2 linked regions of the Oryctolagus cuniculus genome follow. The protein of the gene in region 1 interacts with the protein of each later gene in a pairwise test. Links are inferred from orthologs where the notes say so. Each region holds a gene or a part of one and is shown on either strand. Other genes may lie near its edges.

Region 1 (3,802 bases):
GGCAAAGCCCCCAGCAGCTGAGACTCAGAGCCAAGGGCGTCAGGAAGCTCAGCTCCTACCACACAGCCCCGAGCAAGCCAAGGCCCAGAGAGACACACTGACTTCCCCTGAAGATACACAGCAAGCCTGCAGCAGAGACAGAGTTGAAACCCAACATCCCATCTCCCACTGCAGGCACTGAGAACATCAGAGGGCTGCTTCAGGGTCTCCACAAAGGATGCAAGAAGGCAGGAAGTGTCTATTGCAAGTCCACTGTCAAGGTTGTGCCACGCACAGCCCTCAGCCAGGCACGGTGGCAAAGTCCAACCGGCTGCTAATGTTTGCATGAGGAATTCGCGGGTACCTCACCAGATTGATGGAAAAAAATGGAATTAAAGATATGTTTATTTGAAATCCAGGCATAGCCTTTTCATGGTCTACGTTTCCACGAACTTTTGGAAGACTCACTCTATGCATGGATTTCAAAATGATTTGCGCCCAAAGAAACTTAGCTGTTAACACCACATGGCACAAACTTCTTGAAGAACCCAGGTGTGCTGATAACGCCTGGGAGGGGGGCTGAGAAAATGACACCCTGGCGCCCACTTTCTCTCTGGGAGAGTGGCCTCGCTGTGGCGAGGAAGTGTATCCCACAGAGCTGCCGGCACGTGGCATGGGATCTGTACAAGGATGCACATGGTTACAAGCAGTGCCCCGCCCCCCTCCCAGGGGGCAGGCCTGCAGCGGGACCCAAGAGAGCTGGCAGAGGTTACAGAGAGCATGGAGGCACAGAGGAAGGAACAACTGTCAGGTAGAAAGGGCAGGCGGCAGGACCCCAGGAACAGAATGGACACCCCCACCCCTGGTTTTGACAGCTGCTGATGGCAGAAGGTTCATTATGACATATCGACATGTCCCAAACTCACAGCAGTAATAACCCTTGGAGTATGGGATTTGGAGGAGTGAGCCAACTTTGAAATTCTACTCAGGGGCTGGCACTGTGGGTAAAGCTGCCGCATGCAGTGCCAGCATCTCATATAGGTGCTGGTTCGAGTCCCAGCTGCTCCACTTCTGGTCCAGCTCTCTGCTATGGCCTAGGAAAGCAGCAGAAGATGGCTCAAGTGCTTGGGCCCCTGCACCTACATGGGAGACCTGGAAGAAGCTCCTGGCTCCAGCTTTCAGATTAGCTCAGCTCCAGCCACTGAAGCCATTTGGGGAGTAAACCAACAGATGGAAGATTTTTCCCTCACTCTCTTTGCCTCTGCCTCTCTGTAACTCTGCCTTTAAAATAAAATAAATAAATCTTTCAAACAAAATTAAAAAAAAAAAAAACCTGTTCAATGTTTACAGATGTCCAGATAATGCTATAATATGCATGGCTACTACTTGTAACATTAAAAAAAAAAAGGGGGGGTTACGTTAAGATAACATTTCAAAAGAGCCAGGCCAGCTGGAGGGGCGGCCTCACCAAGGCTGGTGTCTGTGCCCTGCTCCTTGGGCGGGGCAGAGACCTGCAGGGTGTGGCTTCTGGTGACCGCTGGCTGCCCGTCATGCTCCACCTGGCAGGACAGCACCACATCTTCCCTGTGGGCGGAGGAGTTCACCAGGAGCCAGCTCGTGCGGTTGTAGGTCCCGTCCTTGTTCTCCACCAGGGTCCAAGCCGTCTCTGTCCGGGACACGTTTCCATTCTCCAGCCAGCTCAGCTGCACATTCCGGGGGTAGAACTTGTCCACGTGGCAGGTGACGTTCACCTGGGTCCCTGCCCCCATGGGCTGCTGTGTGACCTCCACAGTGGGGGGAACTGAAACAGCAGGGCAGAAGCTCTGAGCTTGCGGGACAGGCAGATCCTGGAGGAGGGGCCGAGTAACTCGGCTCCCACCACCAGGGCCAGGGCACCCCCGCGACAGGGCCAGGCATGCAGCAGGCACTCAGCATGGAGGGGACTCTGCACATGCGTGACATCACTAAACATGGTGCCCAGCACACAGGCGGTGCTCGAGACAGGGAGCTCCCTAAGGGTAGCAGCGAGTGAAATCAACAAGCCCAAACCCTGGATGCAGGAGGAACGTGGCCACTGCAGAGACAGGGGCTTGGCTCACACAGGTGCTCAGCACCTGCAGAATATTCTGGAATGGTAGAATGAGAGGAGTAACTGGCACAGCACTTGGCGTGCAACCAGGCTTCACCCGGCAGCTGCCACTCAAAGGACAGAGACTGGCACGCCAGCCACTGGGGTGGACTGGTACGGGGCCAGTGGGCAGGGCTGCTGGGAATAGAGGCAGCAACTCAGGCCCCAGAGCAAAGCCAGCAGGGGCAGGCACGGCAGCCAGGTGTGGGCGGGGGTGGGGGTGCAATCGTCTACCTCGGATGGTCTCAGACAAGTTGGCAGTACCACGGAGAGGGGAGCCTCCCTGCAGGGTGATGTGGGCCACCTCGCAGATGACCTGGGAGTGCACATCGCTGGAAGCCAGGGCCACCTTGACGGTGCTGGTGACGTTGTAGGAGACGCTTTCTCCCGCGGGGTACACGCTGGTCTGGAAGGCCGGGAGCTCGTTCCCGTTTTTGAACCATTTCAGGCTGATGTTGCGGGGGGAGAAGCCGTGGGACTCACACGTGAAGTCCACTGTCTGCTCCGGGGTGGACCTCGCCCCAGGCCCCGACACCTTCGGGGTGGAGGGCTTGGCTACAAAAGGAGCATTCAGACAAGAAAGAGGATCATGATGACCTGGCAACAGGCAGTCTCACTCACGTCACGTCAATCTTTCTAATCATGCTGGGGGGACAGAGGGGGTCGCGGAGTCTCCCAAGGCCAGACAGTGAGTGACAGGCAGGGCACGCACAGGGGCACTCCCAAGTCTGAGTTCAAGTCCTCTGCAAGGCCTACTCCCTCCAGCCCTGCCCGGGAACAGAATCACAGCTGCCCTCTCCTCTGTGCTAACTCTTCCCAGCGGCCTCCCCAGGAAACCTTGCAAACCTCAAAGCGTTTCTAGAAGCAGATGCAGGGGGCACTGGGCAGTCTCTCTGCCCTCACAGCTGGACCTGGGATGACCGGGCCCAGGAGGTGGACCTGACACACCCCACTGGCCTCTGAGAAATGGGACGGCAGGCGTTTCTCCTCCAGACTTGCATCGAGGGTTACAGAAGCCAAGGCTTTGGAGACGGCACCCAAGGTGCGCCACAGAAACAAACGTCACGGGTCTCTCCCTTGAGCCTGGGTCTGCTTCTATCCAGAGCTCTCCCTCCGGGGAGTAGCGAGTCTACTCTGCATCTCCCACAAACATTCCAGCAGGGCCCAATCTGTGCCAGGGCCTCCCTGAGAGGGGAGAAGGGCGAGGGGTCTTCCGCGGAGCCCGCTGTGGACTGCGAACAAAGATCACTGAGTGCCGAGACAGCCAAGGCGGTTAATTTCCCAGTGGCTCCTGAGCTCCAGGAGACGCAGGCACAGCCCCCGAGCCGGCAGAAGCACCTCCCGCAAGCACACACTGGGTGAGGCAGAAGAGCCAGGGCAGCCCCTCCCTGTAGCCAGCTCCTGCAGGGGTCTCCAAAGTGCTAAGATCACACCCAGCTTTTATGTGGGAGAGGTCAGGCCACAGGGGACACAGGCATTTGCTCCTGTGAGTATTCAACCTGCTCCCCAACACCCATCACATATTTTGAATCATAAAGAGGGTGCTGAGGCCAGCACTGTGGCACAGCGTGTTAAGCTGCCACCTGCACCACCAGCGTCCCCTATCAGGGCACCAGTTAGAGTCCTGGCTCCTCTGCTTCCAATGCAGCTCCCTGCTAATGCGCCTGGGAAAGCATCAGAAGATGGCCCAAGTGC
Region 2 (3,844 bases), on another chromosome or scaffold:
CCCGGTAGCCTGGGGCGGAAGTGGGAGGGTCTCAATTGACTTCTCTGCAGTCACCTCAGCTCAGGCTTCTTGGGAAAATAACAACTCCGCCCTCCAATTAGCCTGTCCCCGCCCCGAGTCACGCCCCCGCCATCTGGACCCCACCCGATGCGCGCTCACCGGGCCCCACGTGTTGCCAGTCCCAGGCCGGGTCGGGCGCGCGCGCGGTTTGCTGGGCACAGCGCAGCAGCTCCTGGCAGGCGGCCTCGCCCTTGCTCTGCACCAGCAGAAGCAGGCGGCGCACCCTGCGCTCGGCGTCTGGCAGGGCGTCCAACGCCTCGTACTCGGGCCCGTTGAGCACGCCCCGCGCCAGCAGCGCGTCCAGCAGCAGCCCCGAGTCCGCCTGCAGCGTCTCCACCAGGCGCTTCCGCTCGCGGTCGATGGTCTCCGACGGCCTCTCCTGCGTGTTGCCCATCGTCCGGGCTGTGTGAAGGAGAGACGTAGTGAGGGCCGGGGCTGTTCTGCGCTGGCTGCGCTCCCAGAGCCCCGCTAGGTACCCGTGGCTGTGACGGCTGCACCACGCAGGACCTGCACGACCCCGCCCGAACCTGTCCTCCTGCGTCTCCGACCGCGGCTGTCCAGTCTCCTTCCCAGGCTCCTCCTTCCCCTCACGTCAGCTCTGGGCCCTCCCCGCCTGAGCCCCGGGCTTGCAGGTGCCGTCACAGCTTATCCGCTTGAGCCTTTTTCTTTCCCAAAGCTGCTCCCGCCTCAACGGGAAGATAAACCGGATGCCCCACAGCCGAACCACACTCAGGGCCCCTCCCATCCGTCTCCTGAGTGGTTCTCTCACCGTGGCGCCCCTTAGTCCTACCGGGACCCTGCAGAACCCTGGACGGGGCTCCCTGCCTCCGTACTACCTGCTCGGGTTCCCTGGGCATCCACAGAACAAGGAGCTGAGGGCCCTGCCTGCTGCTGTCACCTTGCCCTGACCCTGAGGTCCAACTTCCCAGGACAGTCCCTGCCCCTGTCCCCTCACCGCCACCCCCACCTTGTTGCAATCCCTGCTTGGTTGCATGGCCCTTCCTGGCTCCCTGGCACCTGGGCAGAGCTACCTGAATCTTCTCCACCAGTATCTGACTTCATCTGAGACCCGGCAGTCTCCCTTCGGGCCTGGGCAGGACTCACAGCCATCTCTTCTTGCTTGATACTAAGTTCCTAAGGCCCAGCCCAGGAAAGCTACCCGTGACTTCTTGCCAGACCATCATTTTTTTTTTTTTTTTCTCCAAGGGAACTCCTCATTGTGACAGTGTCTCTACGAAACAGTAGGTATTCAGTGGAAATTAATGCATGGATGCTTCGTGCATTTATTGCCAAATCCCCTCAGGTGGCTGGGCTCAGCTAGCAAGGCCCTGGGCACTTAAGAGGCCAAGAGGTCAGCCTCGGCCGGCTCCCTGCCTCAGCCCATCCCTCTGCCTTGGCTCTGCTCATGCAGCAACGCCCCTGGTATCATGTCTTCCCTTGGTGACCCTCATCTGCTGCGGGCTCCATGAGGCTGGGCATCCTCTGGGAGAGGGGATTTAGTCCTCGCCCTCGTCCTGCCTCTCCTGGTGTGCGCTCACACTCTCCCGGCCTCCTGCCCCCACTCCCACGTGTGAGGGTCAGCTCTTGCCACCAAGTGAGCAGGCACCAGAACTACCCCCTGCCTCTCCCTGCCTGCCACATCTGTGACAGATTCTGCCCCGTGTCTCAGCCTCCCTCAGCTCCTGCCAGTGGAGCTCATCTGTAATGCCCCGCCCCCTCCATCCCACCACCCACACAACACAGTGACTGACAACCCTCTGGGGGAGGGCTTATTGTCCCAGCTTAGAGAGAGACTGTGTGGAGGACTAGAATGTATCGCTTCAGCCTGCACAATAGTGAGATCGCTTGGTGCCAGCTGCCCACCACAGAGAACCCAGGCTACCTGCTCTGGCTACTGTAGCCACCTCCCTCAGCCCTGACGGCCAGGTCCTTCCTCATTTCCCTTCACCATTCGGCCAGGCAGAGTGGTGTCACTATGTCCCGGGCACCTCTGAGCCTTTGCTGATGCTGTTCCCCAAGCCTGGCGTGCCCTTCCCCTCCCTCCACTTCTCCCAAGACTCAAATATTCCCTTGTCCACTCCAATGCCAGAGTGTCCCAAGGTAGTTCCTTCTTCCGGGTATCCCAGTGAGCAAGGCATACCCGCACTCCTGACCTTAACTAACATCCCTGCGCTGCGAAAACGCGGCTTTCGGACGGTCGGCCAACGGCGGGCACCGGGAGGGAGAGCGGAGCGGCACTTATTCTGGGTAACACGGAGGGGTGCGCAGATTGCGTCGCCCAGTCCTCCTGTCTCCCTCCTCTCTAACTTGCTTCATGTTAACCTCATTTCCCCGAGACCAGCCCTGTGCGTGCAAGGCGTGCGGAGCGGAGAGCCAGCAGCGCTCACAGCTCTAAGGTGAACCCCGAAGTTAAGGCAGGGGTCAGAGGCCAGATGCTTCCCAAGGCACCAGGCGGCGAGACGTGAAGCTGGCTCCCGCCCTCCCCCCACTCCCCATCCCCACCTGCTGCACCCTCCGGCTCTTCTGCTAGGCAGCCGGAGGTCGTGGGAAACAGCGGGCGCCTTTGCGCATGTGCGACCGCCCAGCTGCCCTTACCTCCCCAGCGCCCAGCGCCCAGCGCCGGAGCCGCCGAGTCCTGCGGCGGGGCGGGGCGGGGCTCACAGACCACCTTCGTGGCGGCTGCGGGTGGTGAGGCTGGTTCCGCCCAATCTGTTTCCCTTCCCGCCCCCAGCCGGGAGGAGCGGGGCTCCGAGTCGGGTCCGCTACGGGCGGCCCCGCTCACGGGTCGGGCCTCGGCGGGGCGGGAGATGACGGTGCAGAAAGGGCCGGGCGGGGTGGGGGTGGGAGCAACAGCTGCGACGGGGGCGGGACGGCCGGGGCTGCCGGGAATGGCGGGGGGCGGGGGCGTCCTTGCCCAGCACCTGGAGCCGGGCTCCGCTTGCCCGCGGGGCTCCCCGGGAGATGAGCTGGGGAGGAGGCAGTTGGGCCCGCACCCCACGTAGCCAGCGCCCACGCTGGGCCTGCCAGTTGTCAGTGCGCTTCACAGCTCTCCTCTCATCGACCTCCCTCCTCTCTGCTTGTCCCAGACGAGGCTCAGAGAAGGGGACCGACCGACTCGTGGTCACAGAGCGCTGCATCGCTGGGCAGGGTGCGTCCCAGAGGTTGCAGGGGCCACGCGTGAGCCCTGGATCCCGGCCTAAGTAAGAGGGTTGGCCCCCTCCCCGCTTCCCAAGTACCATGACTCTCTGGAGATTCTTCCATTAAAGCCCTAGCACCTGGACGCTTTTACGAATGCAAAGTTCCCCTTCCATCACCAGGACACCTGTGCTCCCTCCCTGGTCGACGGAGAAAAGAGAGCAGAAACACAGAAAAAAATGCAATTTATGTGCAGGGCTCATCAGGGTGCTGGAGAGAGGCCGCGGAGTCAAGGAGAGGGGGTTCACTCACCCCCCGCCAGGGGGCGCCAGGAAGCCGAGAGGGGGTGTGCCGCTGTGGACTGGTCCCTCAGCCAGCCCGGCTTCATTTGCTTGCAGGTTTCAAGGGGAAGGACTGGCCCCGGGGCCCAGGTAGGAGGCCCTGCTCTCAGGGGTGCTGTAAATGGTTAAAGCCCCAGGCAAGCCGAGAGCTGGGCCTCCCAAGGCCGCCTGGACATCCAGCAGGAGCGGGGCCCCCAGCGTAGGGTCCTTCCCTAGGAAGAGTGGGTTTGTGCTCAGCAGCCAGGAAAGGTTGCCCTTCCCACCACTCAGTGAGGATGAAACATTCCTAACCTCCTCCTCTCCTGCCA

The links.
Region 2: the proteins of tyrosine-protein phosphatase non-receptor type substrate 1 (region 1) and NOL3 interact in a two-hybrid assay, tested with the Homo sapiens proteins (2 studies listed by BioGRID and IntAct). The two-hybrid records come from large-scale screens. The link is inferred for Oryctolagus cuniculus from reciprocal best matches to the Homo sapiens genes SIRPA and NOL3.

Annotation. Positions count from the first base shown.
Region 1 is NC_091442.1:27,611,588-27,615,389, reverse strand, and holds part of tyrosine-protein phosphatase non-receptor type substrate 1, read right to left. Parts: intron 2,663-3,802; coding exon 2,342-2,662; intron 1,781-2,341; coding exon 1,448-1,780; intron 1-1,447. UniProt on the Homo sapiens protein: Immunoglobulin-like cell surface receptor for CD47. Acts as docking protein and induces translocation of PTPN6, PTPN11 and other binding partners from the cytosol to the plasma membrane.
Region 2 is NC_091449.1:50,465,416-50,469,259, reverse strand, and holds the start of NOL3 (nucleolar protein 3), read right to left. Parts: upstream 2,940-3,844; 5' UTR 2,656-2,939; exon of another isoform or gene 2,563-2,655; intron 708-2,562; exon of another isoform or gene 588-707; intron 463-587; 5' UTR 455-462; coding exon 160-454; intron 10-159; coding exon 1-9. Other genes in the region: HSF4 (heat shock factor protein 4), read right to left, coding at 3,597-3,748.